Macaca fascicularis: one gene and its partners. The protein of the gene in region 6 purifies or fractionates together with the protein of the main gene of each other region. This does not show direct contact. Links are inferred from orthologs where the notes say so. Each region holds a gene or a part of one and is shown on either strand. Other genes may lie near its edges. The genes, in order: NUP85, NUP107, NUP98, NUP160, NUP133, SPAST and NUP43.

The links.
Region 1: the proteins of SPAST (region 6) and NUP85 purify together in Homo sapiens (affinity purification with mass spectrometry; 3 studies listed by BioGRID and IntAct, counting the BioPlex papers as one, with this or other methods). This does not show direct contact. The link is inferred for Macaca fascicularis from reciprocal best matches to the Homo sapiens genes SPAST and NUP85.
Region 2: the proteins of SPAST (region 6) and NUP107 purify together in Homo sapiens (affinity purification with mass spectrometry; 3 studies listed by BioGRID and IntAct, counting the BioPlex papers as one, with this or other methods). This does not show direct contact. The link is inferred for Macaca fascicularis from reciprocal best matches to the Homo sapiens genes SPAST and NUP107.
Region 3: the proteins of SPAST (region 6) and NUP98 purify together in Homo sapiens (affinity purification with mass spectrometry; 3 studies listed by BioGRID and IntAct, counting the BioPlex papers as one, with this or other methods). This does not show direct contact. The link is inferred for Macaca fascicularis from reciprocal best matches to the Homo sapiens genes SPAST and NUP98.
Region 4: the proteins of SPAST (region 6) and NUP160 purify together in Homo sapiens (affinity purification with mass spectrometry; 3 studies listed by BioGRID and IntAct, with this or other methods). This does not show direct contact. The link is inferred for Macaca fascicularis from reciprocal best matches to the Homo sapiens genes SPAST and NUP160.
Region 5: the proteins of SPAST (region 6) and NUP133 purify together in Homo sapiens (affinity purification with mass spectrometry; 3 studies listed by BioGRID and IntAct, counting the BioPlex papers as one, with this or other methods). This does not show direct contact. The link is inferred for Macaca fascicularis from reciprocal best matches to the Homo sapiens genes SPAST and NUP133.
Region 7: the proteins of SPAST (region 6) and NUP43 purify together in Homo sapiens (affinity purification with mass spectrometry; 3 studies listed by BioGRID and IntAct, counting the BioPlex papers as one, with this or other methods). This does not show direct contact. The link is inferred for Macaca fascicularis from reciprocal best matches to the Homo sapiens genes SPAST and NUP43.

Annotation. Positions count from the first base shown.
Region 1 is NC_088390.1:81,592,508-81,596,487, forward strand, and holds the start of NUP85 (nuclear pore complex protein Nup85), read left to right. Parts: upstream 1-1,180; 5' UTR 1,181-1,256; coding exon 1,257-1,289; intron 1,290-3,912; coding exon 3,913-3,980. UniProt on the Homo sapiens protein: Essential component of the nuclear pore complex (NPC) that seems to be required for NPC assembly and maintenance. As part of the NPC Nup107-160 subcomplex plays a role in RNA export and in tethering NUP96/Nup98 and NUP153 to the nucleus.
Region 2 is NC_088385.1:75,497,793-75,501,292, reverse strand, and holds part of NUP107 (nuclear pore complex protein Nup107), read right to left. Parts: intron 3,262-3,500; coding exon 3,136-3,261; intron 2,740-3,135; coding exon 2,626-2,739; intron 1-2,625. UniProt on the Homo sapiens protein: Plays a role in the nuclear pore complex (NPC) assembly and/or maintenance. Required for the assembly of peripheral proteins into the NPC. May anchor NUP62 to the NPC. Involved in nephrogenesis.
Region 3 is NC_088388.1:70,551,403-70,554,902, forward strand, and holds part of NUP98 (nuclear pore complex protein Nup98-Nup96), read left to right. Parts: coding exon 1-62; intron 63-1,223; coding exon 1,224-1,362; intron 1,363-3,500. UniProt on the Homo sapiens protein: Plays a role in the nuclear pore complex (NPC) assembly and/or maintenance. NUP98 and NUP96 are involved in the bidirectional transport across the NPC. May anchor NUP153 and TPR to the NPC.
Region 4 is NC_088388.1:17,983,713-17,987,662, forward strand, and holds the start of NUP160 (nuclear pore complex protein Nup160), read left to right. Parts: upstream 1-1,150; 5' UTR 1,151-1,279; coding exon 1,280-1,481; intron 1,482-1,740; coding exon 1,741-1,852; intron 1,853-3,950. UniProt on the Homo sapiens protein: Functions as a component of the nuclear pore complex (NPC). Involved in poly(A)+ RNA transport.
Region 5 is NC_088375.1:19,615,425-19,618,924, forward strand, and holds part of NUP133 (nuclear pore complex protein Nup133), read left to right. Parts: intron 1-1,430; coding exon 1,431-1,578; intron 1,579-3,500. UniProt on the Homo sapiens protein: Involved in poly(A)+ RNA transport. Involved in nephrogenesis.
Region 6 is NC_088387.1:90,032,394-90,035,893, reverse strand, and holds part of SPAST (spastin), read left to right. Parts: intron 1-1,823; coding exon 1,824-1,866; intron 1,867-3,247; coding exon 3,248-3,327; intron 3,328-3,500. UniProt on the Homo sapiens protein: ATP-dependent microtubule severing protein that specifically recognizes and cuts microtubules that are polyglutamylated.
Region 7 is NC_088378.1:57,733,078-57,737,071, reverse strand, and holds the start of NUP43 (nucleoporin Nup43), read left to right. Parts: upstream 1-1,194; 5' UTR 1,195-1,228; coding exon 1,229-1,348; intron 1,349-1,664; coding exon 1,665-1,787; intron 1,788-3,994. UniProt on the Homo sapiens protein: Component of the Nup107-160 subcomplex of the nuclear pore complex (NPC). The Nup107-160 subcomplex is required for the assembly of a functional NPC.

The DNA of each region.
Region 1 (3,980 bases), on a different chromosome or scaffold from region 6:
ATCCACCCACCTCGACCTCCCAAAGTGCTGGGATTACAGGCGTGAGCCACCGCGCCCGGCCTAAATTTTGTATGTTTAGTAGAGATGGGGGTTTCCCCATATTGGCCACGCTGGTCTCGAACTCCTGAACTTGTGATCCACCCGCCTCGGCTTCCCAAAGTTTGGGGATTACAGGCGTGAGGCACCGCACCCTGCCCAAGCCCGGCTAATTTTTAAAATATTTTTAGTAGTGACGAGGTTTCATCATATTGGCCAGGCTGGTCTTGAACACCTGACCTCCAGTGATCCGCCCATCTCGGGCTGCCGAAGTGCTGGGATTAGAGGCTTGAGAAGCCTCTAATCCTTCAGGAGCATCGATTTTGTCCCCGTGCCTCTTTTTTTTTTTTTTTTTTTTTGAGACGGAGTCTCGCTCTGTCGCCCAGGCTGGAGTGCAGTGGCACAATCTCGGCTCACTGCAAGCTCCGCCTCCCGGGTTCACGCCATTCTCCGGCCTCAGCCTCCCGAGTAGCTGGGACTACAGGCGCCCGCCACTGCGCCCGGCTAATTTTTTATATTTTTAGTAGAGACGGGGTTTCACCATGGTCTCGATCTCCTGACCTTGTGATCCGCCCGCCTCAGCCTTCCAAAGTGCTGGGATTACAGGCGTGAGCCACCGCGCCCGGCCTCCCGTGCCTCTTGTGTGTGTTCTAGTGTGGGAGTGACGGCGACTGCTTTCCAGCACAAGCCCATTTGACTGTTTGGGTTTGGACAAGTGGCTGCTACGACACTAAGGTGGAGATAAGGATGGAGCGAGGACTCCCAGAGTTGGGAAAGCTTGCAGGTTTACTGGGACCTCAGTCCGGCACAAGTTCCCACCCAGGTGCCGCCGCCCCAGCCTACGCACGCGCAGTCGCACCGTCTCTGGCCAAGGGTTCCTCCTGCCCCGCCCGCCCTCTCCGGGGGCCTTCTCTCCGCTCGGCACCAGGGTGTCCGCGGCGCCGCCTGATCCCGTTAGCGCGGTACTGTGAGTGCAGTCCGTCCTCGGCGCTGTTTTCCCTGACTTGCTGTCGACGCCAGGAAGGAAGGACGCGCGCAGAGGACCGCAGAGGGGTGGCCGTGGCTGAGGGAAGAGAGCGCCGCAGCACTGAAGGTTTGGGCTTGCAGGCGCTGCAGGAGGCGCCCAGGCGGGGTCCTGTCTCTCAGGCAGCTCTGAGCGGGAGGCCTGAGCCGGAAGCATTGACGTCCCGGCGACTTCCCAGAGCCTGGGGTTCGGCGCTATGGAGGAGCTCGATGGCGAGCCAGCAGTCACTGTAAGGGCACCCCGAACAGGCTTGATCGCCCTTGTGGGTTGAGAACTGCGTCTGCTTCGTTACTTCAGGCTTGTCTGCTTCCCTACTGGCCGCGAGGCTCTCGTCCCCTTCCCTTGATTCAGTTGCCACTTTCCGGAGGTCGCAGTGTTAACTAGGTGCCCGACCTCGGGTCGTAGTGGTCGCGGGGTTTCTGCCACCAGTCACAAAGCCAGGCCTCGAAGGTCCCAGTCCGTCCCTTTCCTTCTTTTGTCTTGCTGACCTTTCTACTTCCCTCGCATTTCCTCTTGGGTATTAGAGTGGGTTCAGCCCAAGCAGAGGAATTTATGTTTTTCTTCCAGCCATATTAAGCTCTGCATCGCGGCACGTTGAGTTTCTGCTTGTGTGACCTAAGGTTTATTAAACGTATTATCTCAGGAGACTATTCATATTTTATCGCTGTGCATTCAATTCCATTTGAACTTTGAAGAGAGTATGTCAACTGTGGATGATCTGTGATGTGTATAAAAAAAATTCATGGACTTTATGTGCGACATACCTACCGTTTCTGCTACTTGGAATGCTTTTGTTTTCCCTCTTTCTCTTGTTAACCGCTGACTGAGGCAGGTCTCAACCGATAAAGGTTTATTTAGCTAAGGTTGAGGATCCAACCGGGAAAAAACACAGGTCCCAGGAGGATCTGAGACTTGTGCTTTTTCCAGAGATGGTTTTGGGAACATCAGTAGTTAAAGAGGAAGGAACTAGCAGGAGGGGCAAAAAAGGGAGGTTAGGCAGTGAGGAGGCAAATGGTTACATTCTTGTGAGTCTCTGATTAGCCTCAGTAAATCTGCATTTTACCTGTGAAAAGAGGGAGTAGAGGAAAAATTTATGTATGCATTTATCTCAGGGTAGGTAGAGGGATGGTTTCATTTCTTTTTTTTTTTTTTTCTGAGACGGAATCTCGCTCTGTTGCCCAGGCTGGAGTGCAGTGGCGCCCCTCTGGGCTCACTGCAAGCTCGGCCTCCTGGGTTCACACCATTCTCCTGCCTCAGCCTCCCCCAGTAGTTGGGACTACAGGCGCCCACCACCACGCCCGGCTAATTTTGTTTTGTATTTTTAGTAGAGACGGGATTTCACCGTGTTAGCCAGGATGGTCTGGATCTCCTGACCTCGTGATTTGCCCACCTCGGCCTCCCAAAGTGCTGGGATTACAAGTGTGAGCCACTGCGGCTGGCCTCTTTCTTTTTTTGAGACGGAGTCTCACTTTGTCACCAAGGGTGGAGTGCAGTGGCGCCATCTCAGCTCACTGCAACCTCTGGCTCCCAGGTTCAAGCGATTCTTCTACCTCACCCTCCTGAGTAGCTGAGATTACAGGTGCGTGCCACCACACCCAGCTAATTTTTATATTTTTGGTAGAGATGGGGTTTCACCATCTTGGTCAGGCTGGTCTTGAACTCCTGACCTCGTGATCCGCCTACCTCAGCCTCCCAAAGTGTTGGGATTACAGGCGTGAGCCACCACACCTGGCTAGGAGTTCGAGGCCAGCCTGGCCAACATGGCGAAACCCCGTCTCTACTAAAAAAAGTACAAAAATTAACCTAGCGTGGTGGCGCATGCCTGTAATCCCACCTACTCAAGAAGCTGAGGCAGGAGAATCGCTTGAACACAGGAGGCAGAGGTTGCAGTGAGCGGAGATCGTGAGATCGCGTCACTGCACTCCAGCCTGGGCAACAAGAGTTCGAACTCCTGGCCGGGCGCGGTGGCTCAAGCCTGTAATCCCAGCACTTTGGGAGGCCAAGACGGGCGGATCACAAGGTCAGGAGATCGAGACCATCCTGGCTAACACGGTGAAACCCCGTCTCTACTAAAAACACAAAAAATTAGCCGGGCGAGGTGGCGGCGCCTGTGGTCCCAGCTACTCGGGAGGCTGAGGCAGGAGAATGGCGGGAACCCGGGAGGCGGAGCTTGCAGTGAGCTGAGATCTGGCCACTGCACTCCAGCCTGGGCGACAGAGCGAGACTCCGTCTCAAAAAAAAAAAAAAAAAAAAAAAAAGAGTTCGAACTCCTGACCTCAGATGATCTGCCCGCCTCAGCCTCCCAAAGTGCTGGGATTACAGGTGGGAGCCACTGTGCCCAGCACAAAATGAATTTTTCTTACTAGTGTTATAAGAAAATGTTATTGAAGGATACAATGTTATTACAGGACCAGCTGTGCTCTTCACTTAAAGTGTTTTTCAGCCAGGCTGGCATGGTGGAAAGTGTTTTTCAGCCAGGCGGGCACGGTGGCTCACGCCTGTAGTCCTAGCACTTTGGGAGGCTGAGGCGGGTGGATCACCTGAGCTCGGGAGTTTGTAACCAGCCTGGGCAATATGGTGAAACTCCGTTTCTACTAAAAATGAAAAAAAAAAAAAAAAGCCGGGTACGGTTGCACACATCTATAGTCCCAGCTACTCAGGAGGTTGAGGCAGTAGAAGACCTTGAACCCAGGAGGCGGAGATTGGAGTGAGCTGAGATTGTGCCACTGTACACCAGGCTGGGAGACAGAGTGAGTCGTTGTCTCAAAAAAAAAAAAAAAAAAAAAAAGAATAGAACGACTTCAGTAAGAAGAACATTCTTCATTTTAGATTTCTATGTCTTATTTTACTAGGTGATTCCAGGTGTGAATTCCAAGAAGAACCAAATGTGTTTTGACTGGGGTCCAGGGGAGATGCTAGT
Region 2 (3,500 bases), on a different chromosome or scaffold from region 6:
TTTTTTGTATTTTTAGTAGAAACGGGGTTTCACCATATTGGTCAGGCTGGCCTCGAATTCCTGGCCTCATGTGACCCACCCTCCTTGGCCTCCCAAAGTGCTGGGATTACAGGCATGAGCCACCGCTCCCGGCTAGAATTACAATTTTCTAATTCACATACAAGTGACATGTGTTAGCAGGAGCCTTGAACAGTGCCCTACGTCATCGACCATATAGGAGTATTAGGCTCAACAAAGGTGATTAAAATGTTATTAATCATTTAACTGTTCAACAAACCTCTTTTCTGGATTAGTTTTAAAGAAATAATTGAGACTGAATATTGATTTTTAAATCCCTGATGAAACAAAATGGCATATCATTCATTGCCTTCCATCTCAACTCCTTTTTTTTTTTCTGAGACAGTGTCTCACTCTGTCACCTAGGCTGAAGTGCAGTGGCACGATCTCGGCTCACTGCAACCTCTGCCTCCTGGGTTCAGGCCATTCTCCTGCCTCAGCCTCCCCAGTGGCTGGGACTACAGGCATGCATCAACATACTGGGCTATTTTTTTTGTATTTTTAGTAGAAATGGGGTTTTGCCATGTTGTCCAGGCTGGTCTGAAGCTCCTGACCTCAGGTGATCCACCCGCCTCAGCCTCTCAAAGTGCTCGGAATACAGGCGTGAGCCACCACGCTTGACCTCAACTCCAATTTTACGAGACCCCAGACTATTTTGTGGCTTTCACTACCTAATCTACTTAATTAATAATTAGAATAGCAAAGATTTATATATAAGTAAAGCATTGAAGTCTTTTCAAAATTTAAGTGACACTTAATTAGCATTTTACAACATTAAAATTTTATCTTCAAAAGAATCAGCATGAATCAGATGAGAAAGGTTTTGCCAGAGGAACCTGTGGAAGGTTTAAAACAAGTCAAGGGAGTTCTATTATGAACGTTAGGATAAAAAGTGGAGACTCGGCTGGGCACAGTGGCGCACACCTGTAATCCCAGGCACTTTGGGAGGCCAAGGAAGGTGGGTCACCTGAGGTCAGGAGTTCAAGACCAGCCTGGCCAACATGGTGAGATCCCATCTCTACTAAAAATACAAAAATTAGCTGGGCATGGTGGCAGATGCCTGTAATCCCAGGTACTTGGGAGGCTGAGGCAAGAGAATCTGGGAGGCAGAGGTTGCAGTGAGCCAAGGTTGTGCCATTGCACTCCAGCCTGGGCGACAAGAGCAAAACTCTTTCTCAAAAAAAAAAAAAAAAAAGGTGGAGACACAGTGACTCATGCCTGTAATCCCAGCACTTTGGGAGGCCAAGGAGGGAGGACAGCTTGAGGCTAGGAATTCAAGACCAGCTTGGGCAACACAGCAAGATACAGTCTCAAAAAAAAAAAAAAAAAAAACCAGTCAGGCATGATGGCGTGTGCCTGTTGTCCTAGCTACTGGGGAGACTGATGCAGAAGGACTGCTTGAGCCCAAAGGTTTGAGGCTGCAGTGAGCTATGATCAAGCCACTGTCCTCCAGCCTGGGTGGCAGAGCAAGATGTTGTCTCTAAAACAACAACAAAAAAATAAAGTGGAGACATTTGAGATAATTACTCCCTCAGTAATAGTGGCAAATAGGGGCTCAAATTTAGTTCACTGTCCCGCCTCTATTCTTTTTCCTTCTGGTCAGAGAGGCTAAAAAAAAAAAAAAAAAAAGCAGCAGCTAAAATTAAAGAAAAAGTATTAAATAGATGAGAGTATGAAGAATAGCAAAAGGAAAGATATCAAGAACACTCCTATCATTTTCTTTGTTCAAAATAATACATCGAATATCCAAGAAGCCAGCATTTCCAGTTCTCAGACAGCTCATCAGGTCTACAAAGGATAAACTAAGCTACTCATTGTTTCTGTCATGCACCAGGGTCAGGCTGCAATGTCTTTCCCTTCTATGACTATTATCTCAGTATCCTTCCTTTCCCCATCTCAGCTCATCCAAATTCTACCAGTATGTTCAAGATTCAGTTAAATGTTATACATTTCAAGCATACTTTCCAGTTCCCTTTCAGGTGGAAACAATCTTTTCTTTTCTGGTACTCAGAAAATACTTAACTTGTGCCTTTCTTATGGCACTTAATACTTCTGTAACTGGTTCTCAACACAGGCTATATATTACATTAAAGCACTCCAGGTGATTAAAAAAACAAAAACAAACCCCTGCCCTACCTCAGACCAATTACACCAGAATCTCTGGGAGTAGAACCCTGTAGTATTTTTTAAAAGTTTGCCAGGTCATTAAAATGGACAGCCCAGAGGTGAGAGCCCCTACCTTAGCTATGCCTTACTGATACTACTCGAGTTATCTTTATATCTGTAAATGGAGTCACATACATGTATAATTAAATTTTTAGCTCCAGAATTTTTAAAAATTAGATTTTTGTATCCTGTGTGAACACAGTAAATGTGAACTAACACTTTATCCAAGAATCAAATATTCCCATTCCCTAGCTAGTATTTTCAGTTTAGCTTAAAATATGGGATTTAGCTATATCTACAATTATGTAACATCTGTAGATGCTTCCATTTAGAGACAGAACATTTTTAAAAAAACATGGTGACTGTTTCGGTTTTTGGCTATAAACAATGCACACAGCTTACCTCTCTAACATCCACCATCCACCCTCCATCAACAAACAACAAGACGTTATACATTTTCTCCTTCACATCAGCAGTTAGGGCATCCAAATGCCCTTTCCAAATACCAAAATCCATCTGCAAAACAAACACAAGGCAGACATATAATGTATAAAACCCAATAAATAATGTATTTGTAAAGTACAGACAGAAACATACATATAGAACATCATTCTAAAGAGTTGACGTTTCAGTCTGCCAAATACAAAAATAAGTATCAACAGACTGCAGTTAAATAAAATGCTAAAATGTTAACTTTGTAAATGAATGTTCATGTCACCTGAAGGCATTTTTCATGTTTGGTTAATTACCTACAGAACAGTAACTAAACAGATTGTGTCTCCCAAAGCAGGACATTAACAGGAAGATTACCTGTTATGATAGAAAGATAGTGCTGAAGAAATGATCTATTTAAATATACAACATACATTTATAAGATGCAATAGGCACATCCCAGATCCATATTTAACTTACTTCATATTTCCTTTCTTTGTGTTCATGAGCCACTTTCTCAGTAAAAGTTGGTTGAGGTATCAAAGTAGGTTTTTGTGGAACTGAATTCATATGCTTAAACCACTCATTAAAGGTTTCATGGGCTTCCTAAAATGTAAAATAAAGAACCAAAATATAAAATAACAAAAGTTTTCACTTTTATCGTTTCACCAAAATTTTTAACATTTGATTCTTAGAAATAATTTTGCAGCATCAAGAAATAAAAACTGTTAAATATATATATTTTTTGCCTCCAAAAATTCATATCATGAATAAATGTTTTGTCAAGTGACAAACAAGGTATATATATTGTGTTTTCTGGCATCTTCTCCAATATCAGCACCCTG
Region 3 (3,500 bases), on a different chromosome or scaffold from region 6:
TGCTAAAATTACCAATGAAAAAGGAGAGTGCATTGTCTCTGACTTCACTATTGGTCGGAAAGGTAAGTGTGAGTTTAGCATTTAGTGATTAAGCCAGAGAGTTGCACCTTATTTTTGTAATTAGGGGAAGCTTTTGGTAGCTGAATCTGTGTTTTCCTACATTTGGGCCCACCTTGGCCTGAATCTTAGATACTTTGATTGATAAGTAATAAAACAACAAAGACTGGAACCATGTAAAAAAATTTTTTTTTTTTTTTTTCTGTTGAGATGGGTTCTTGCTACATTACCTGGCAGATCTCAACTGCTGGGCTCAAGCATTTCTCCTGCCTCAGCCTCCTGAGAAGCACAGAGCCATATAATATTCTTTGGGCTTAGATATACCTGTTTGGTGCTAGTAACTATTTGGGTCATTTTAATCTTCTGTAATTAAAGAAAATACTGGAAATACCAAGAACTACTGAGAAAATTGAATAGTAGGCAAGAGATGTGTAACACTTAGCATCAACTTCATGTTATTAAGTTATTACTGATAATTTTCTTAGGGAAATGTCGTAGGAAATGTCACTGTGCTATATTGTATTAAAAAGAGCTCAGGCATTTTAAGCCATATGCCAGGTCAAGTACAAAGGTTTGTTTATGTAACAGCATTGTAGATAGATGGGAAGAGATTTAAGAAGGTTGTTTTGAGGCTAATGGAAGTTTTATAAAAATGCAGATGTTAGGCCTGTCGCAGTGACTCACGCCTGTAATCCTAGCGCTTTGGGAGGCTGAGGTAAGACGATCACTTGAGCTCAGAAGTTCCAGACCAGCCTGGGCAACATAGTGAGACCTCACCTTTACCAAAAAGTAAAGAAAATTAGCCAGGCATGGTGATAAGTACTTGTAGTCTCAGCTACTTAGGAGGCTGAGGTGGGAGGATTGCTTTAGTTTAGGAGGTTCAGGCTGCAGTGAGCCAGGACCACTGCACTCCAGTCTGGTCAACAGAACAAGACCTCGCCAAAAAAAGAAAAAAGAAAAGAGAAATACAGATGTTAAATCAGGTAACAACATAATTGAAGTTACTCCCTAAGTCCCCATTCTTACCAGTCTAGGAATTGCTGGATGATTTAAAATACTAATATTTAAAACTGTCTTCTCCTTGTGATTGTTTAATCACTATAGTTGTAAAGTAGGTATTTGCCTTTATACAGAATGAATTTTTAACTATTTGCTCTGATTTATAGGTTATGGTTCAATCTATTTCGAAGGAGATGTGAATTTGACAAATCTAAATTTGGATGATATTGTGCATATCCGAAGGAAAGAAGTAATTGTCTACTTAGATGATAACCAAAAACCGCCTGTGGGTGAAGGGCTAAATAGGTAAGAGTTTATGTATATCAGAAAATTATCAGCTAAATCATAGTTTTTTTTTCTGTCAACATAAATGTGTTTAGATGTATGCTTCTGTAGCTTGCTTTCCTTAGTAGAGTACATATATTGTCTCTGACTTAAAAGTATAAATGGCAAAGAAATGCTGTGTTATGATTTTGAACTCCTTTTCCCTGATTTTATTTTTTTAATTTTTTTTTTTACATCCCTTGGATTCTATTTTATTTTATTTTATTTCATTTCTTTTTTTTTTTTGAGACAGAGTTTCGCTCTTGTTGCCCAGACTGTAGTATAGCAGAATAACATCAGTTTACTGCAACCTCCAACTCCTGGGTTCAAGCGATTCTCCTACCTCAGCCTCCCAAGTAGCTGGGATTGTAGGCGCCCACTACCATGCCTGGCTAATTTTTGTATTTTCAGTAGAGACAGGGTTTCACCATGTTGGCCAGGCTGGTCTTGAGCTCCTGACCTCAAGTGATCCTCCCACCTCGGCCTCCCAAAGTGCTGGGATTACAGGTGTGAGCCACTGTGCCCAGCCTCCCTGATTTTATTGGGTCCAACTGCTAATTTCAAAAACTCTTTTTAATAGTGTTTTGCTTTATTCCTGTTTCTGCTGTGGCTATACTTAACTCTCTATTTTAGTGTGAGAGCCTAGCTTCTAATATAATATCTCTTTAGTCAAGTGAAAGGTCTGTAGTTAAAAATCATTTATCTTTATAACCTACCAACCCTGAATCAGGAAGAGATAGAAAATCTGAGCAGATCGATCGATCCTTTGCTTTGCTTTACTTTGCTCTACCGTGCTGTGCTCTGCTTTGCTTTCCTTTTTTGTTTTCCTTTTCCTTTCCCCTCCTTTCCCTTTCCTCTTCCCCTTCCCCTTCTTTTCTTTTCCCTTTCTCCTCTTTCTTTCTTTTCTTTCTTTCTTCTTTCGAGACAGGGTTTCACTCTTTTGCCCAAGCTGGAGTGCAGTCTTAGCTCACTGCAACCTCTGCCTCCTGGGTTCAAGTGATTTCCTGCCTCAGCCTCCAGAGTGGCTAGGATTATAGGTGCCCGCCACCATGTGCAGCTAATATTTGTATTTTTAGTAGAAACAGGGTTTCACCATGTTGCCCAGGCTCGTCTCAAACTCCTGACCTCAGGTGATCCACCCACTTCGCCTCCTGAATAGCTGTGACCACAGGGATGCACCACCATGCCCGGCTAATTTTTGTATTTTTTGTAGAGATGAGGTTTTGCCATGTTGCCTGCCCGGGCCGGTCTCAGACTCCTGAGCTGAAGTTTTTGGCCTGCCTTGGCCTCCCAAATTGTTGGGATTATAGGTGTAAGCCACCTTGCCCACCCTTAAATGATTTTCAGTAAGGTATAAAAATTACTTGGGGGTAGAGTGTGGTGTGGGGCACACATAAAAAAAACAAAAAGAAAAATATTTGATCGGGAGAAGACAATCTCTGTAACAGAGGATGCTGGAAAACTGGATATCCACATACAAAAGAGTGAAGTTACATCATATACAAAGATTAACCCAAAATGGATAAAATACCTAAGTATAGGATCCAAAAATGTACAACTCTCAAAAGAAAACACAGAGGAAAAGCTTCATAACATTGGTTTTGGCAATGATTTCTCAGATACAACATCAAAAAGTGTAAGCAACAAAAGCAAAAATAGACAAATGATACTCTATCAAACGAAACCTTCTGCACAGCAAAAGACAAGTGAAAAGGCAACCTATAAGAATAGGAGAAAATATATGCCAGTCATATTTGATAAGAAGTTAATAGCCAGAATGTAAAGAATCCTGCGATTCATGGCCGGGCGCGGTGGCTCAAGCCTGTAATCCCAGCACTTTGGGAGGCCGAGACGGGCGGATCACGAGGTCGGGAGATCGAGACCATCCTGGTTAACACGGTGAAACCCCGTCTCTACTAAAAAAATACAAAAAACTAGCCGGGCGAGGTGGCGGGCGCCTGTAGTCCCAGCTACTTGGGAGGCTGAGGCAGGAGAATGGCGTGAACCCGGGAGGCGGAGCTTGCAGTGAGCTGAGATCCAGCCACTGCACTCCAGCCTGGGTGACAGAGCAAGACTCCGTCTCAAAAAAAAAAAAAAAAAAGAATCCTGCGATTCAACAG
Region 4 (3,950 bases), on a different chromosome or scaffold from region 6:
GGCTAATTTTTTGTATCTCACTGTTTCACCATGTTGGCCAGGCGGGTCTGGAACTCCTTACCTCGTGATCTGCCCACCTCGGCCTCCCAGAGTGCTAGGATTACAGGCGTGAGCCACTGCGCCCGGCTAATTTTTCTGTTTTTCGTAGAGGCCGGGTTTCACCATGTTGGCCAGGCTGGTCTTGAACTCCTGACCTCAAGTGATCCTCAAGTCTTGGACTCCCAAAGTGCTGGGATTACAGGCGTGAGCCACCACACCCGACCTTGGTGTATAGTTTTCTTCAGGCACGTTCAGCTACAGATTTGAATGTAATCGAAGTTGTTTTTACTGATGAAGAGTTAGGCAATGAAGTAATTTAATGGTATTCAGGATAAGGAAGAAACACCAAAGAAGTGAGGGACAGTGAAGAGCTTGTATAACAATGGATTTCAGGTAGAATGAGGGGGCTGCACTGCCAAAGTTGGTGTCCCAGAGGGAGTGAAGTGGAAAGATAGGAAATGATGGTCGGAACCAGATAAATGAAACGGAGAATGACAGGGAATGGCTGTGGTCACTGGTAATAGAAGTGACCAACAAGCGTTGGCTATCACTAAGGAACAAAACCTTCCCTGCTGGAGATTAGCATTTTCCCCGATTTTGAACATCTACCCCCACAATATCTTCTAAACATCCACTATGGGCCCTTATTGCATTGACAGCCAAGTGCAAGATCACGGTTGGAATGAATGGCAAATTCTTTTCACGTATCCAAGTGAGTAGCACTCAGGTAACCTCAGCAGGTGGCAGCATCAAGGTTTACCACATTACGTTTCATTATACAGGAATACACGAATACAGTCTCTTGGGGGGAAAAAAGACCAAAACCAAAGGCCCTTCCCTCACTACCCCTTCCTCACCCCGCCAACCCAAGTGCCACTGAAGAGCGAAGGGAGGATCGGCAAAGATTTACAGACGGACACCCTAACCGAGGGAGAGGTGACCAAACACCCGGGATCCGGCAGAGGACGCCCAAAGGCCGGACCTCCCCGGACCTCGCCCCTCCTGGGAGACTGAGCCCCGCGTTTTGGAAACAGAAACAAACCCGGTCCCGCCCCCTGCCCTGCGGCCGCTGAGAAAAGGGCACCGCCCTCCGGAGGCGTTCCAGCCGGCCACTCGAAGATTCCAGCAGATACAGTCGGCCTCCCCTGCCCGCTTCTCTTCTGGATTCCCCGCTGCCCATCCTCATTCTCCCGGTGGAAGCCCCGCAACGAAGGACCGGAGCCCCCTTTCTGCTCCCGGGATGCTTCACCCGTCCGCAGCTCCGCCCGCCCCGCCCCCGGAAGTGACGGCGGCCGCGCGGCCCTGCCTTTGTCCCGTCGGGCATCGCGGCGACGGCGGGAAGATGGCGGCGGCGGGATCCCTGGAACGAAGCTTCGTGGAGCTAAGCGGGGCTGAGCGCGAAAGGCCGAGGCACTTTCGGGAATTCACAGTCTGCAGCATTGGTACGGAAGTGGCCAGGGAGGGCGCGATCCGATCTGTCCCCTCGGGCTCCTCTCATGGGTCCTAGGGTCTCTGACTGCTGGGTTCATCCTCCTGAGTCCACATGCCTCCAGCCCCGGGATCAGAGATTCCTTGATGTCCGACGTTTTCCTCTTTTCTTTGTATGGGTTGTCAGTCTGTCACCCTCTGCTTTATCAGGTCCCTTAGTCCCTGTCATTTCTCAGAAGACGCGTGTGCAGGCTGACCACGTTCATTTTGCAGGGACCGCAAATGCCGTGGCTGGCGCCGTAAAATACAGTGAGAGCGCGGGAGGCTTTTACTATGTGGAGAGTGGCAAGTTGTTCTCCGTAACCAGAAACAGGTTCATTCATTGGTAAGTGCTGTGGTTCGCCAAACTCCCCTGGAAGGTAGGGTTTGGTGTGTAAATTTTAGTTGCTGTTCCCAAAGTGCTATTCTAGAAGCGGTAATCGACACTTAGGGAAAGAGAAAGTTTTTTTTTTTCAGTTCGTATCAGAGTCGGGAAAACTGAGACACAGTTCTAGAAGAGTTTACCCTCCCCCCCCACCAATACACACACACACACCAAGCAACACCAAAAGCAGAGGGAATGTAGCTTAGGGGTATAAAGCCCATAAGACTAGTTTTAAACATGAACCCATTATGTTTTTATAGTGCTTTACAGCTTCCTTCATTGAACAAATATGTTCGAGCTTCAATATGTCAGGCATTGTGCTAGGTACCAGGACGAAATGAACAAAACTGCCATCTTCATCATGCAAGACGTTGTAGCAATGTCAGAATAGTTGTGGACTCACTTTTCATGGGGAAATTTTGTGGAGGAAAACTTGCCCTAGAGGAAAAATACAGGGGTTACGAGAGGCTAATGAGAGGACCAAATGTTATTAGTGGGGCAGGAAAAGGCTTTCACAGTTACCCTGAGGTCTAAAGGACACGAGGTTAGCCAGGTATGGGGAGTGGACAGAGAGGAGTCCAGCAAGCAGGATCACCATATGCAAAGGTCACAAAGTGGAAAGAATGTGGCAGGTTTGGAACTGACCAAAGATCTGTGTGGCTTAAGTGCAGTGGGTAAAACAGAAAGTAATGTGAGATACTGAGGCTGGAGAGGTAGGCAGGACTCGGACCATGAGGGACCCTTAGGCCATTTTTAAGGATTTTTGGATTTTATCCTAAGTACATTGAGTAATAATGGAATAGGTTTTTAAAGAGTTACTAACATCAAAATTGCATTTTTGGATGGGAACAGTTAACACTGGGGATTCCAAAAGGAGCGGGGGAGCAGAGGTTGGAAAACCTATCAGTTACTGTGTTCACAACTTGGGCGGCAGGATCATTAGAAGCCCAAACCTCATGTAGATAGGAATATATACACAATATACTCATGTAACAAAGCTGCACATGTACCCCTGAATCTAAATTTTTTAAAATGTATTTTTAGAAGATCTCAGTCTACTTTGTGGAAAGTGGATTTGGATTAGATGGGTATAATGCAAAAAAAAGTTTGCTTTTATGATGGCCCAAGTAAGGGTTGCTGGTGGTTCAATTGTGGGAATGAATAGAAATAGAAAAGTAGATGGATTCAAGATACCTTTGGAAGATAGATTCACTAGGACTTGGTGGTGGATTGAATATGGGGTAAGGGATGGTAAAAGAAAAGGAGAGAACAAGGACAGCTCCCTGGTGTCTCATGTGACTAACCAGATGTGAGTGGGGAGGGGTTGCCATTTACAGAGATCCATAGAAGATGGATTTTGGAAAGATATGAATAATTCTGTTGGACATAGTAAATTTGAAGTACCTGGGGAGCAGCCCTTTGGAAATGTCAAGTAGGCATTGAAATTTACAGGTCTAAGGCTCAAAAGAGAGACTTTATGTTAGAGATACAAATTTCATTTAGTTAAATATTTTGGCTGGGCACAGTGGCTCACACCTGTAATCCCAGCACTTTGGGGGGCTGAGGTGGGAGGATCTCTTGAGGCCAGGAGTTCAAGACCCCATTTCTACAATTTTTTTTCTTTTTTCTTTCTGTTTTTTTTTCTTTTCTTTTTGAGAGACAGTCTGGTGGCTCCATTGTCCAGGCTGGAGTGCAGTGGTGCAATCATGGCTCACTGCAGTCTCCGCCTCCTGGGTTCAAGTGACCCTCCCACCTCAGCCTCCCAAGTAGCTGCAATTACAGGTATGCGCCACCATGCCCAGCTGATTTTTCTATTTGTTTTTGTAGAGATGGGGTTTTGCCTGGTTGCCCAGGCTGGTCTTGGACTGCCGAACTCAAGCAGTGCCCCATTCTCGGCCTCCCAACTTGCTGGGATTACAGGCGGAGCCACCATGGCCGGCCTGATTTTTAAAAATTAGCCAGGCGGGGTGGCATGTGCCTTTCATCTTAACCACTCAGGAGGCTGAGGCGGGAGGATCTGATCATGCCACTGCACTCCAGCTTGGGAAACAGGGTAAGA
Region 5 (3,500 bases), on a different chromosome or scaffold from region 6:
TTACAGGTGTGAACCACAACACCTGGCCTTTTAAATTTATTTTAGAGATACATGGTCTCACCGTGTTGCCCAGGCTGGTCTTGAACTCTTGGGCTCAAATGATCCTCCTATCTCAGCCTCCCAAAGTGTTGGGATTACAGGTGTGAGCCATCGCGCCTGGTGGTAAAATTTTTTTTTTTAATGTTTTTCCTCTGGACAAAAGCGAGTAACCTTTAAATAACTGAGTACATCAGGGATTGGCAAACCTTTTCTGTAAAGGGCCAAAAGTAACTGTTTTAGGCTTTGGTGGCCATATAGTCTTTACTGCAGGTACTCTATTTCACCAATAGTATCATGAAACATCCCTAGAAAATGCATAAATGAATGTGTATGGTTGCCTTCCAACAAAACTTCGTTTATAAAAACTGGTTTGAGATCAGTTTCACTGGAGGGCTGTACTTTGCTAATCTCTGGATCAGATAGTTGTTTTGATCTTTTTTTTAAAGTCCGGTTTATTGAGCTATAATTTATATAGAGTAAAAAATTTACCCTCTTTAGTGTATAATTCTACAAATTTTTTTTCTTCTTTTTTTTTTTAAGATGGAGTGTTACTCTATCACCTAGACTGGAGTGCAGTGGTGTGATCTCAGCTCACTGCAACCTCCGCCTCCCGGGTTCAAGCAGTTCTCCTGCCTCAGCCTCCCAAATAGCTGGGACGACAGGCATGTGCCACCATGCCTGGCTAATTTTTGTAGAGACGGCTTTGCCACATTGGCCAGGCTGGTCTTAAATTCCTGAGCTCAGGTTATCTGCCCACTTTGGCCTCCCAAAGTGCTGGGATTATAGACGTGAGCCACTGCACCCGGCCCTAATTCTACAAATTTTGACAGATACATAGTTTAGTCATTTAATCACAACAATCAATACAGAACAGTTGTATAACCCCCCAGATTCCCTTGTGCCATTCTGTCATCGACCCCTCCATCCACCCTTAGCCCCTGGAGACCACTGATGTGGTTTCTGTCTCTATAGTTTTGCCTTTTGCTTAATGCCACAGAAATGGAACATACAGTTTAAAGCTTTTTGAGTCTGGCTTCTGTCACTTAGCATAATATATTTCAAATTCATTTGGTTTTTTTTTTTTTTTTTTTTAACTACTGAATAGTATTCTTTTGTATGGAGATACCACCGTTTGTTTGGCTGTTCAGCAGTTGGAAGACACTGGGTTGTTTTCAGTTTTAGGCAATTATGAATAAAGCCACTACAGTCATTGGTACACAGGTTTTCATGTGAACATAGTTATTGGTTTTTTGTTTTTGTTTTTTAATTTTCTCTTGTATAGGTATCCACGAATGGGATTGCTAGGTTATTGGAAGCATATGTTTAATTTTATAGGAAACTCCTAAGTTGTTTTTTAGGGAGGCTTTACATCTTTATTTCTTATTGATTAGTGATGGGCTGGTGATTCTGGCAGCAGCATGGCACTCAGCAGACAATCCGTGTCTCATCTATTACTCTCTGATAACAATAGAAGATAATGGTTGCCAAATGTCAGATGCAGTTACTGTAGAAGTCACTCAATATAATCCACCTTTTCAGGTAAGATTTATGTTGGTTAAATTACAAAGCAATAATATGTTGAATAGTTTTCTAACTATTTCAGGGTCTTATTTGTTTATTTACAGTTTTGCTCTGTCACCCAGGCTGGAGTGCAGTGCCTTGATCTCTGCTCACTGCAACCTCTGCCTCCCCTTCCAGGTTCAAGTGGTTCTCCTGCCTCAGCCTCCCGAGTAGCTGGGACTGTAGGCGTGTGCCACTATGCCCAGCTAATTTTTATAGTTTTAGTAGAGACAAGGTTTCACCATGTTGGCCAGACTGGTCTCGAACTCCTGATCTCAAGTGATTCCCCCAACTTGGCCTCCCAAAGTGTTGGGATTACAGGCGTGAGCCACGATGCACGGCCCATTTCAGGGTCAAATTTCTTGACAGATTTCATCTGCAGGGCTTGGCAATATTTTAAAATAGCTTGTTTCTAGACATTGTTGCATTTTCTTTGCCATCTCAGGCTTGTTCTTTTGCTTAGTTTTGGCTAAAGGAAAATTAGAATGGAAGCAACTAGCAGAAAGCAGTTTGTTTATTCTGCTCTAGGTCTTTGGAGGGATTGTCATCTCTGTATTTAAGTAGAAAGAAGGTATTAATTAATTTCAGGGTGAAAGTAAGGAAGAAACCACGCTGGGCATGATGAGTACATGCCTGTAGTCCCAGCTACTCAAAAGGCTGAGGCAGGAAGATCACTTGAGCCCAGGGGTTTGAGGCTGTTGTGTGCCGTGTTCACACCTGTGAATAACCACTGCATTCCAGCTTAGGCAATATAGTGAGACCCCATCCTAAAACAAGAAGAAAAAGAAAAGAAGAAAGCTGGTAGGATTTAGGGTTTGGTTTAGAGCTTTGCATATCATAGAAAAATCCCCCTTTTTACCCAAAGCAAGATTATGTTTGTATTCAGCAGTGTTACATAGTCATCAAAGTTCTTTTAAACAACTGAAAGACGGCCTTTCTAATTTTAAATTCATTAATAGCAATTAAACATGTTTAATAACAGATATTCATGAAGAAAAAGCTGAACATCTATAAATTTATTTTATTTACTCTTACATGGTATCTGATTCTGTTAAATCCTTGTTTGTTTATTTTTGAAGAGGGAAAGTCTTGCTATGTTGCTTGGACTGGAGTGCAGTGATATTCACAGGTCCGTCAATAGTGCATGGTAGCCTCCAACTCCTGGGCTCAAGCAGTCCTCTCAGGTAGCTGGGATTACAGGTCTGCACCACCGTTCCTGGCTTAAATCTTCACTTTTTTTTTTTTTTTTTTTTTAATCCTTACTCTTAACATGACTTGTTTAATTGAATCCTGTAAGAAAATCTTTTGATTTGTTCTTTTATGTCAAACAGAAATAAACTTTATTGTGTGTTCTGATTATGCAGTGTGGAAAACATGCTCAATGTTAGAAAAAAATTCAGCCAGGGCAGAAGACTATAAAGAGAATTTGAGGATTAAAAAACAATTCTAGGACCTCACATTTAATGTTTCTATAAAATTAGTTCTTTAATAACAGCTTATTTTTAGCATATTCTAATTTTATTTAATGAGATTTATTTTTATTTCTGCCTCTGATTTTATATGTAAACAAATCAACTAAGTTTTCTTGTCATTAATATCTTGCCAGTAAGGTAAGAACCAAAATGTTTGTTTATCAGGGATCATTTATAAAAAATTGCCAGTTCTTAATACAATGAATTAGTGCTTTCATTTTCTCCCTTGAATTTGTCATAGGCTTCTAGTTATAGTCATCATCATGGAAATGTTTTCAAAATTTGTTAATTTTGGACATTAACAAATTAGGCCAGGTGTGGTGTCTCATGCCTGTAATCCCATCACTTTGGGAGGCTGAGGTGGGTGGATCACCTGAGGTCAGGGGTTCGAGACCAGCCTGGCCAACATGGTGAAACCCTGTCTCTACT
Region 6 (3,500 bases):
AATTTTCTTCTTAATCCTTTTAAACTCTTAGGTCTTTTTGCAATTTTCTTGTTAATCCTTTTAAACTCTTAGGTCTTTTTGTTTTGTTCTGTTTTCCCAAGCCTGTTGCCTTTATTTCTTACTGGGTTAGTATCTAATCTCCTTTGTGCTGTATCTTTTCTAACTCTTCTTTCCTTGGTGGTTTTTTATTCATTACTTTCCTGACCTCTGTTATTCTACTTTTCATCTTCTGTTTTATTTCTTTGAGCATCTATACGTTATTTCCGTAAGCTCTTACATTTCACTGGGCTCTTGTTTCATAGAAAACAATTTTTTGGGGAGGGTGGATCACTTGAGGCCAGGAGTTCGAGACCAGCCTGGCCAACATAGCACAACACTGTCTCTGCTAAAAATATAAAACATTAGCTGGGTGTGGTTACACACACCTGTAATCTCAGCTACTCAGGAGGCTAAGAATCGCTTGAACCCGGGAGGCAGAGGTTGCAGTGAGCCAAGACTGGGGCACTTTACTCCAGCCTGGGGGACAGAGCAAGGCTCTGTCTCAAAAAAAAAAAAAAAAAAAAGAAAACGGTTCTTTGGTTGGGCATCATGGTGGGTCACACCTGGAATCCCAGCACTTCGGGAGGCCAGATCACTTGAGGCCAGGAATTCCAGACCAGCCTCACCAACATGGCAAAACTCCATATCTATAAAAAAAACTTAAGGATAAAAAAATAAAAATTCTTTTAAAATTATTTTATTTCATGGAAAGATATTTGGTCATAATTTTAATTTGCTCTATGGCAAAATCTTCTCATGCATGTTCTTCATTTTATCTAGTTTATGTTTGTTGTGTTTTGTTTGCTCTTTTTGGGGGCAGGTTTTTTTTTTGTTTGTTTAATGAGCTCTGTCCTGGTTTTTTCTTTTTGCTTATTATTTTTCTTTGAATAAAAGAGTTTTCTTGGAAAACCTAGTTTTGGAAGGATATTGTAGGGGAAGGGATAGGTATCTTGAGTAGTCCATGTATACTCTAAACTAACATGCAGCCTCCCTCACTTACAGTGAAGCCCTACCTAATAATGAAGTATATGTGTGTGTAAATAAGAGATAGGGTTGATTTATTCTTCTACTAAAAAATATTGGTCACTGCAAGACATTGCCTTCCCACCAGACTGTTAGATGCCTTCTTATAAAGATAATTCGTCTTAGAGTTTCTTTGTTCAGTCTCACCTTCCTTGCCATTCCTATGCTATCAGTTAGGGTTTACATGGTCTGCAGAGCCAGGCCTATATGCTTGTTTAAATGTGGAGGGATTGGCTTTATTATAACCCTTTAGGGTGTGCTATCTCTTTTGGGGAGGAAAACTGTATTCTGACAGTCATGTCCATGATCTTCAGCAGCAGATCCTTTGTGTGTCTTCCTTTGTCAGTGTAATTTTCACTGCCCTAGGCAGTTCACCTTTATGTATTTTAGTTCCGCAAATATTACCTAGTTTGTTGATGAAGTGTACGTTTCTGTTTCTATTATCCTTGCTGATTTTAGTTTTTTTCAGATTCAAGAAGATAGGAGATCTACTTATATCAGATATTTTGTTTGTTTTAAAGCATTACTGCTATTAAAAACATATACATACATAAATGATTAATTCTAACAATACCAAATTAAGGATTTTTAAACATTAACTAGAGTTTTAAAAGAGTAACAAAAATATTTTTGCATTGATAACTACCAAAATGCATTCCAATGCCTTGAATATTATATTTTAAAAGCTTTTTCCTGTCATTTGCTGCTTCAGCTTTAAATTCAAAATTATATTTCTAAAAGTGCTGGGTTTTTTTTTTTAGGCGTTTCATCAAACGGGTATATGTGTCTTTACCAAATGAGGAGGTATGTATCTGTGTTTGAATTTTTTTTTGTTTTAAAGCAGAAACAAGAACTGCCATCTTGACAATATTAAGTCTTCCAATCCATGGTACAGCTAGTTTGGAAAACAGTTTAGTGGTTTCTTAAAAAGATATACATAAGCTTACTGTCAGACCCAGCAATTTCACTCCTAGGAATTTACCCAAGAGAAACAAAAATGTATGTCTACACAAAGACTTGTACAAGAATTTTTATAGCAGCAGTATCAATAATAGCCAGCACTACAAATGATCTAAAATGTTCCTTTTGGTGAATAAACAAATGTGGTATATTCATTTAATGGATACTGTTATCCATCATACATGCTGCATACTCACTTCATATATTAAGTTTTATGAATGAAACTCCAAAACATTGTAAATGAAAGAAGCAAGATGATATATGTCGCATATCATATGATTCTGTTTATATGCAGAAAAGGTAAATTTATTTATTTATTTTTATTTATTTATTTTTTTTGAGACAGAGTCTTGCTCTGTTGTTTAGGCTGGAGTGCAGTGGCGTGATCTTGGCTCACTGCAGCCTTCACCTCCCGGGTTCAAGTGATTCTCCTGCCTCAGCCTCCTGAGTAGCTGGGACTACAGGCATGTGCCTGGCTAATTTTTTGTATTTTTAGTAGAGATGGGTTTCACTGTGTTAGCCAGGATGGTCTTGATCTCCTGACCTTGTGATCCGCCTGCCTCAGCCTCCCAAAGTGCTGGGATTACAGGCGTGAGTCACCGCGCCCGGCCAGAAAGTGCAAATTTCTAGAAACATAAAGCAGATCAGTGGGTTGTCAGGGTGAGAGTTGGGAATGAGGATTAACTGCAAACAGGTATGAGTGAACTAAAAAGTGTTCTAAAACTGGATTGTGGTGATGATTAAACAATTATATAAATGTATTAAAACTAATTGAATTATACACTTAAAATGGGTGAAATTCATAGTAGATGAATTCATACCTCTGTAAAACTGGTTTTTTTTTTGCAGCAGAATATTTATTGCTATGTTTTTATCCAGGTGTGGTGGCTCACGCCCATAATGCCAGCATTTTGGGAGGTTGAGGTGAGAGGATCGCTTGAGCCAGGAATTCAAGACCAGCCTGGGTGGCATAGGGAGACCCTGTCTCTACAAATACTTTTTTAGAAATTAACCGGGCATGGTGGCACGTGCCTTTGATCCCACTTACTCGGGAGACTGAGATGGGAGGATTGCTCAAACCCAGGATGTTGAGGCTATAGTGAGCTATGATTGTGCCCTGCATTGCAGCCTGGGTAACAGAACAAGACCCTATCTCAAAATAAAAAAAGAATCATTAATTCTGATATTAAATTAGACTGAATGATCATTTTTTAATATTTTGCAGACAAGACTACTTTTGCTTAAAAATCTGTTATGTAAACAAGGAAGTCCATTGACCCAAAAAGAACTAGCACAACTTGCTAGGTGAGTAATTTGGATTTGGTTTATCTCACAGCTTTTATTTATTTTTTTGTAAATAATTATTTTTTTAGTTATTTAAAGTAATCTTAAGTATGAAATGAGTAATTCATTTACAGAAGACTTTTTGTCTCATCCTCTACCTCCTTTGCCTTTTTCTTACGTCTTATTCTTATATA
Region 7 (3,994 bases), on a different chromosome or scaffold from region 6:
CTCCCAAAATGCTGGGATTACAGGCTTGAGCCACCGCGCCCGGCCGGATTTACATTCTAATTAGGGAGGAATATGCATCTTAAGAAAACTAACGATAGAATATATCCAAAATATATGTAATAGTGGCCTAGATATCAAATGCAAGCTCACGCCTGTAATCCCAGCACTTTGGGAGGACAAGGCAGGCGGATCACCTGAGGTCAGGAGTTCGAGACCAGCCTGGCCAATATGGTAAAATCCCGTCTCTACCAAAAAAAAAAAAAAATAGCCAGGCATGGTGACACGCACCTGTAGTCCCAGCTACCCTGGAAGCTGAGGTGAGAGAATCACTTTAATCTGGGAGGCGGAGGTTGCAGTGAGCTGAGATTGTGCCACTGCACTTCAACCTGGGCCACAGAGTGAGACCCTGTCTTCAAAAAGAAAAAAAGCGATGTTGATTTAGATCAACATTGGCTGGGGGCATCAGGAAATGGTTAAGGAAAGAACAGATCCTTGAAGGATAGGCAGGATTCTGAGGAGTAAAGAGGAAGGGAAGAATATTATAGGTGTAACCAAAAGCACAGAAGGAACCTAGAAAACTGATTCCTGGGCTATTGACAATAGATATCACAAACCTCATTCTTAATCATGCACATAATTAAATTGACCAAAGCTAGGCAATTGGCATCAAAACTAAAACTGGAGTCTTTCAGAATTCTAACTCCAGGCTCTGACAGTGTGTATTAACTTTCAAGCAAAGTATTTGTTTGGGGGACAAGAGGGAGAGGTTTAGGATAGTAGGTTGGCACTGTATTCGAGGTACTTCCATGAGTATTTAAGGATTTTTGAATTGTTTTCTATGCGCAGTGACCTGCAACTGCTTAGGTGTGGTTTCAAGGTGGTTTCTACTGTATTGATTTTGTTCTATTTTTGCTCTTAAATTTTACACTGCACAATTATTGAACACAAGAAAATACTGATATTTTAGATTAGGAGCAAGTCCTACTGCTCAAAGGCCAAAGCGCTCTTGCCTTTGCTCAGAGTCGCTCTAGGAGATGGGCCTCTCGGTCTAGGTTCTCCCAGTTTGTATACTGACCGTGCCCACACTGGCTACCGAAGAGAATTGACTCTCTGCAGCCACCGTCTCCCTCCTAAAGTCCCATCCAATCAGGGTTCCGCGGGAAGAGGCGGGGCTGAGAGGCGCGCGTTGTGCTTGCTTTTTGCAGTGCCTGCTGCGGCTGCTTTCGGCATGGAGGAAATTTATGCGAAGTTTGTGTCTCAGAAAATCAGCAAAACCCGCTGGCGACCGCTGCCTCCCGGAAGTTTGCAAACCGCGGAGACGTTTGCTACCGGATCTTGGGACAATGAGGTATCCCTGCTGATAGGGACGAGCCCCTGCCTCTTCCCTCCCTCCGGTTGAGCTGACCCCTGGCCGCGCGCGCGCCAACTCCCACCTTCTGGTTTTTCTCGCACTTCTAGGTCCCTCGGACCCTGTCTCAGGCGCGGTTGCGCCATAGCTCAGAACCCGTGATGGTGTGCCTGAGCCTCATATCTCGTTACGTTTTAAACTCACCATACTATTTGTCTGAGATGTTTTGGAGCAAGCTTTCTGGACGGAAGCGCAACTTTTATTTTCCGATAGTTGACGTTTATGTCATCTCAAGACAAAACTCTTTGTTTTACAGGAAAATTATGTTTCACTGTGGTCTATTGGAGATTTTGGAAACTTGGACTCTGATGGAGGGTTTGAAGGAGACCATCAATTATTGTGTGATATCAGACACCATGGTGATGTCATGGATTTACAGGTAAATCTGTGTAGCATCCAAAAGCTAACTTTGAAAGTCCTGAGTAATACATTTAAACAAGCAGAGCATCATAAAGGTTGTCTTGTATCACCCCTCATTTACAAAAAACTGAGTGCTCTGTAAGTTATGATTTGGCCGACATCATTTAGCCATTTAGTGGCAGAAAAAGGACTGGGAAAGGGGATGTAGATTTAATCATACTTTTTTATTTATTGACCGTCGACTATGTGCTAAGTACCGTTTGGGGAGCTTTACAAAAATTAATTATTATTGGTTGCCGGTATATCAAGTATTGTTACTTTGTTTTACTAATGAGAAAATTGAGACTAACATATCTTAAGCATGTACTATGTGACAGATACTGTGCAGGGGGATTAACATCATTTTGTTTTTTGAATTCTCATGACAACTCCCTAAGCAGAGATTAGTGCTCCCGTTTTAAAGATTTACCACGATTTAGTGAACTTAACTTGGCCAAAGTCTCAAAACCAGTAGTGAGTGGTGGGGATGAAATTGAGCTTTCTTTTTTTCTTTTTTTTTTTTTTTGAGGTGAAGTCTCACTCTGTCTCCCCGGCTGGAGTACAGTGGCATGATCTCGGCTCACTACAGCCTCCACTTCCCGGATTCAAGCGATTCTCCTGCCTCAGCCTCCCAGGTAGCTGGGACTACAGGCACAGGCCACCACACCCGGCTAATTGTTTGTATTTTTAGTAGAGACGGGGTTTCACCATATTAACCAGGATGGTCTTGAACTCCTGATCTCGGCCTCCCAAAGTGCTGGGATTGCAGGAGTGAGCCACTGTGCCTGGCCGAAATTAAGTTTTCAAATCCTGGTGTGGAGAGCCCCTGCATTTTATTCTATAGAAAGCTACCTAGCCCTGGTGTACGCCTGTAATCCTAGCTACTCGGGAAGCTGAGGCAGGAGAATTGCTTGAACCTGGGCGCAGAGGTTACAGTAAGCTGAGTGCACGCCAGTCTGGGCAACAAGAGCGAAACACTGTCCCAAAAAAAAAAAAGAAAGAAAAAGAGACAGAGAGAAGAAAGAGAAGAAAGCTATCTAGCCCTAGGAAAGATCTTTTTTTTTTTTTTTTTTTGAGACGGAGTCTCACACTGTCACCTGAGCTGGAGTGCAGTGGCACGATCTCAGCTCACTGCAACCTCTGCCTCCTGGGTTCATGCAGTTCTTCTGCCTCAGCGTTGAGTAACTGGGACAACAGGCATATGCCTCCATGCCTGGCTAATTTTTGTGTTTTTAGTAGAGATGGGGTTTCACTATGTTGGCCAGGCTGGTCTTGAACTCCTGACCTCGTGGTTCACCCGGCTTGGCCTCCTGAAGTGCTAGGATTACAGGCGTGAGCCACCATGCCAGGACAATATTTTTCCTTTCTTTTTTTCTTTTTTTTTTTTTTTGAGATGGAGTCTTGCTCTGTCGCCCAAGCTGGAGTGGTGCAGTGGCACTATCTCGGCTCACTGCAACCCTGCCTTCTGGGTTCAAGCGATTCTTCTGCCTCAGCCTGCTGAGTAGCTGGGAGTACAGGCACCTGCCACCACGCCCAGCTAATTTTTGTGTTTTTAGTAGAGACGGGGTTTCAACATATTGGCCAGGCTGGTCTCAAACTCCTGGCCTCGTGATCTGCCTGCTTCAGCCTCCCAAAGTGCTGGGATTACAGGCATGAGCCACCGCGCCTGGCTTTTCTTTTTAAAAATTTTTATTCTGTTTTTGAAACTGAGTCTTGCTCTGTCAACCAGGCCGGAATGCAGGGGCTCGATCTTGGCTCGCTGCAAGCTCCGCTTCCCCACAACCCCGACTCATTTTTGTATTTTCGTAGAGACGAGGTCTCGCCACATTGCCCAGGGTGGTCTTGAACTCCTGAACTCAAGCGATCTGTCCGCCTAGGCCTCTCAAAGTGCTGGGATTACAGGCGTGAGCCACCGCACCCAGCCAGGAATGGTATTTTTCTAACGTTTTATTGTGTTGGTCTCAAATTAAATCAATGGCGGGTAAATGTGTCTAGGAAAAAAATACTGTTTATTCATGAAAATGCTTTGTATGGCAGTTTGGACTTTCAGCTCCATTAACACATGTTATTTGCTTAGCACTCATAGGCTCTTTGCTTTTTAAAATTGTTATCATTTGCTACTAATTGAGTTAAATAAATGAATAGATTTCCTCCCTGCTAGTATTTCTGAGTCTTTAACAAGCAGAA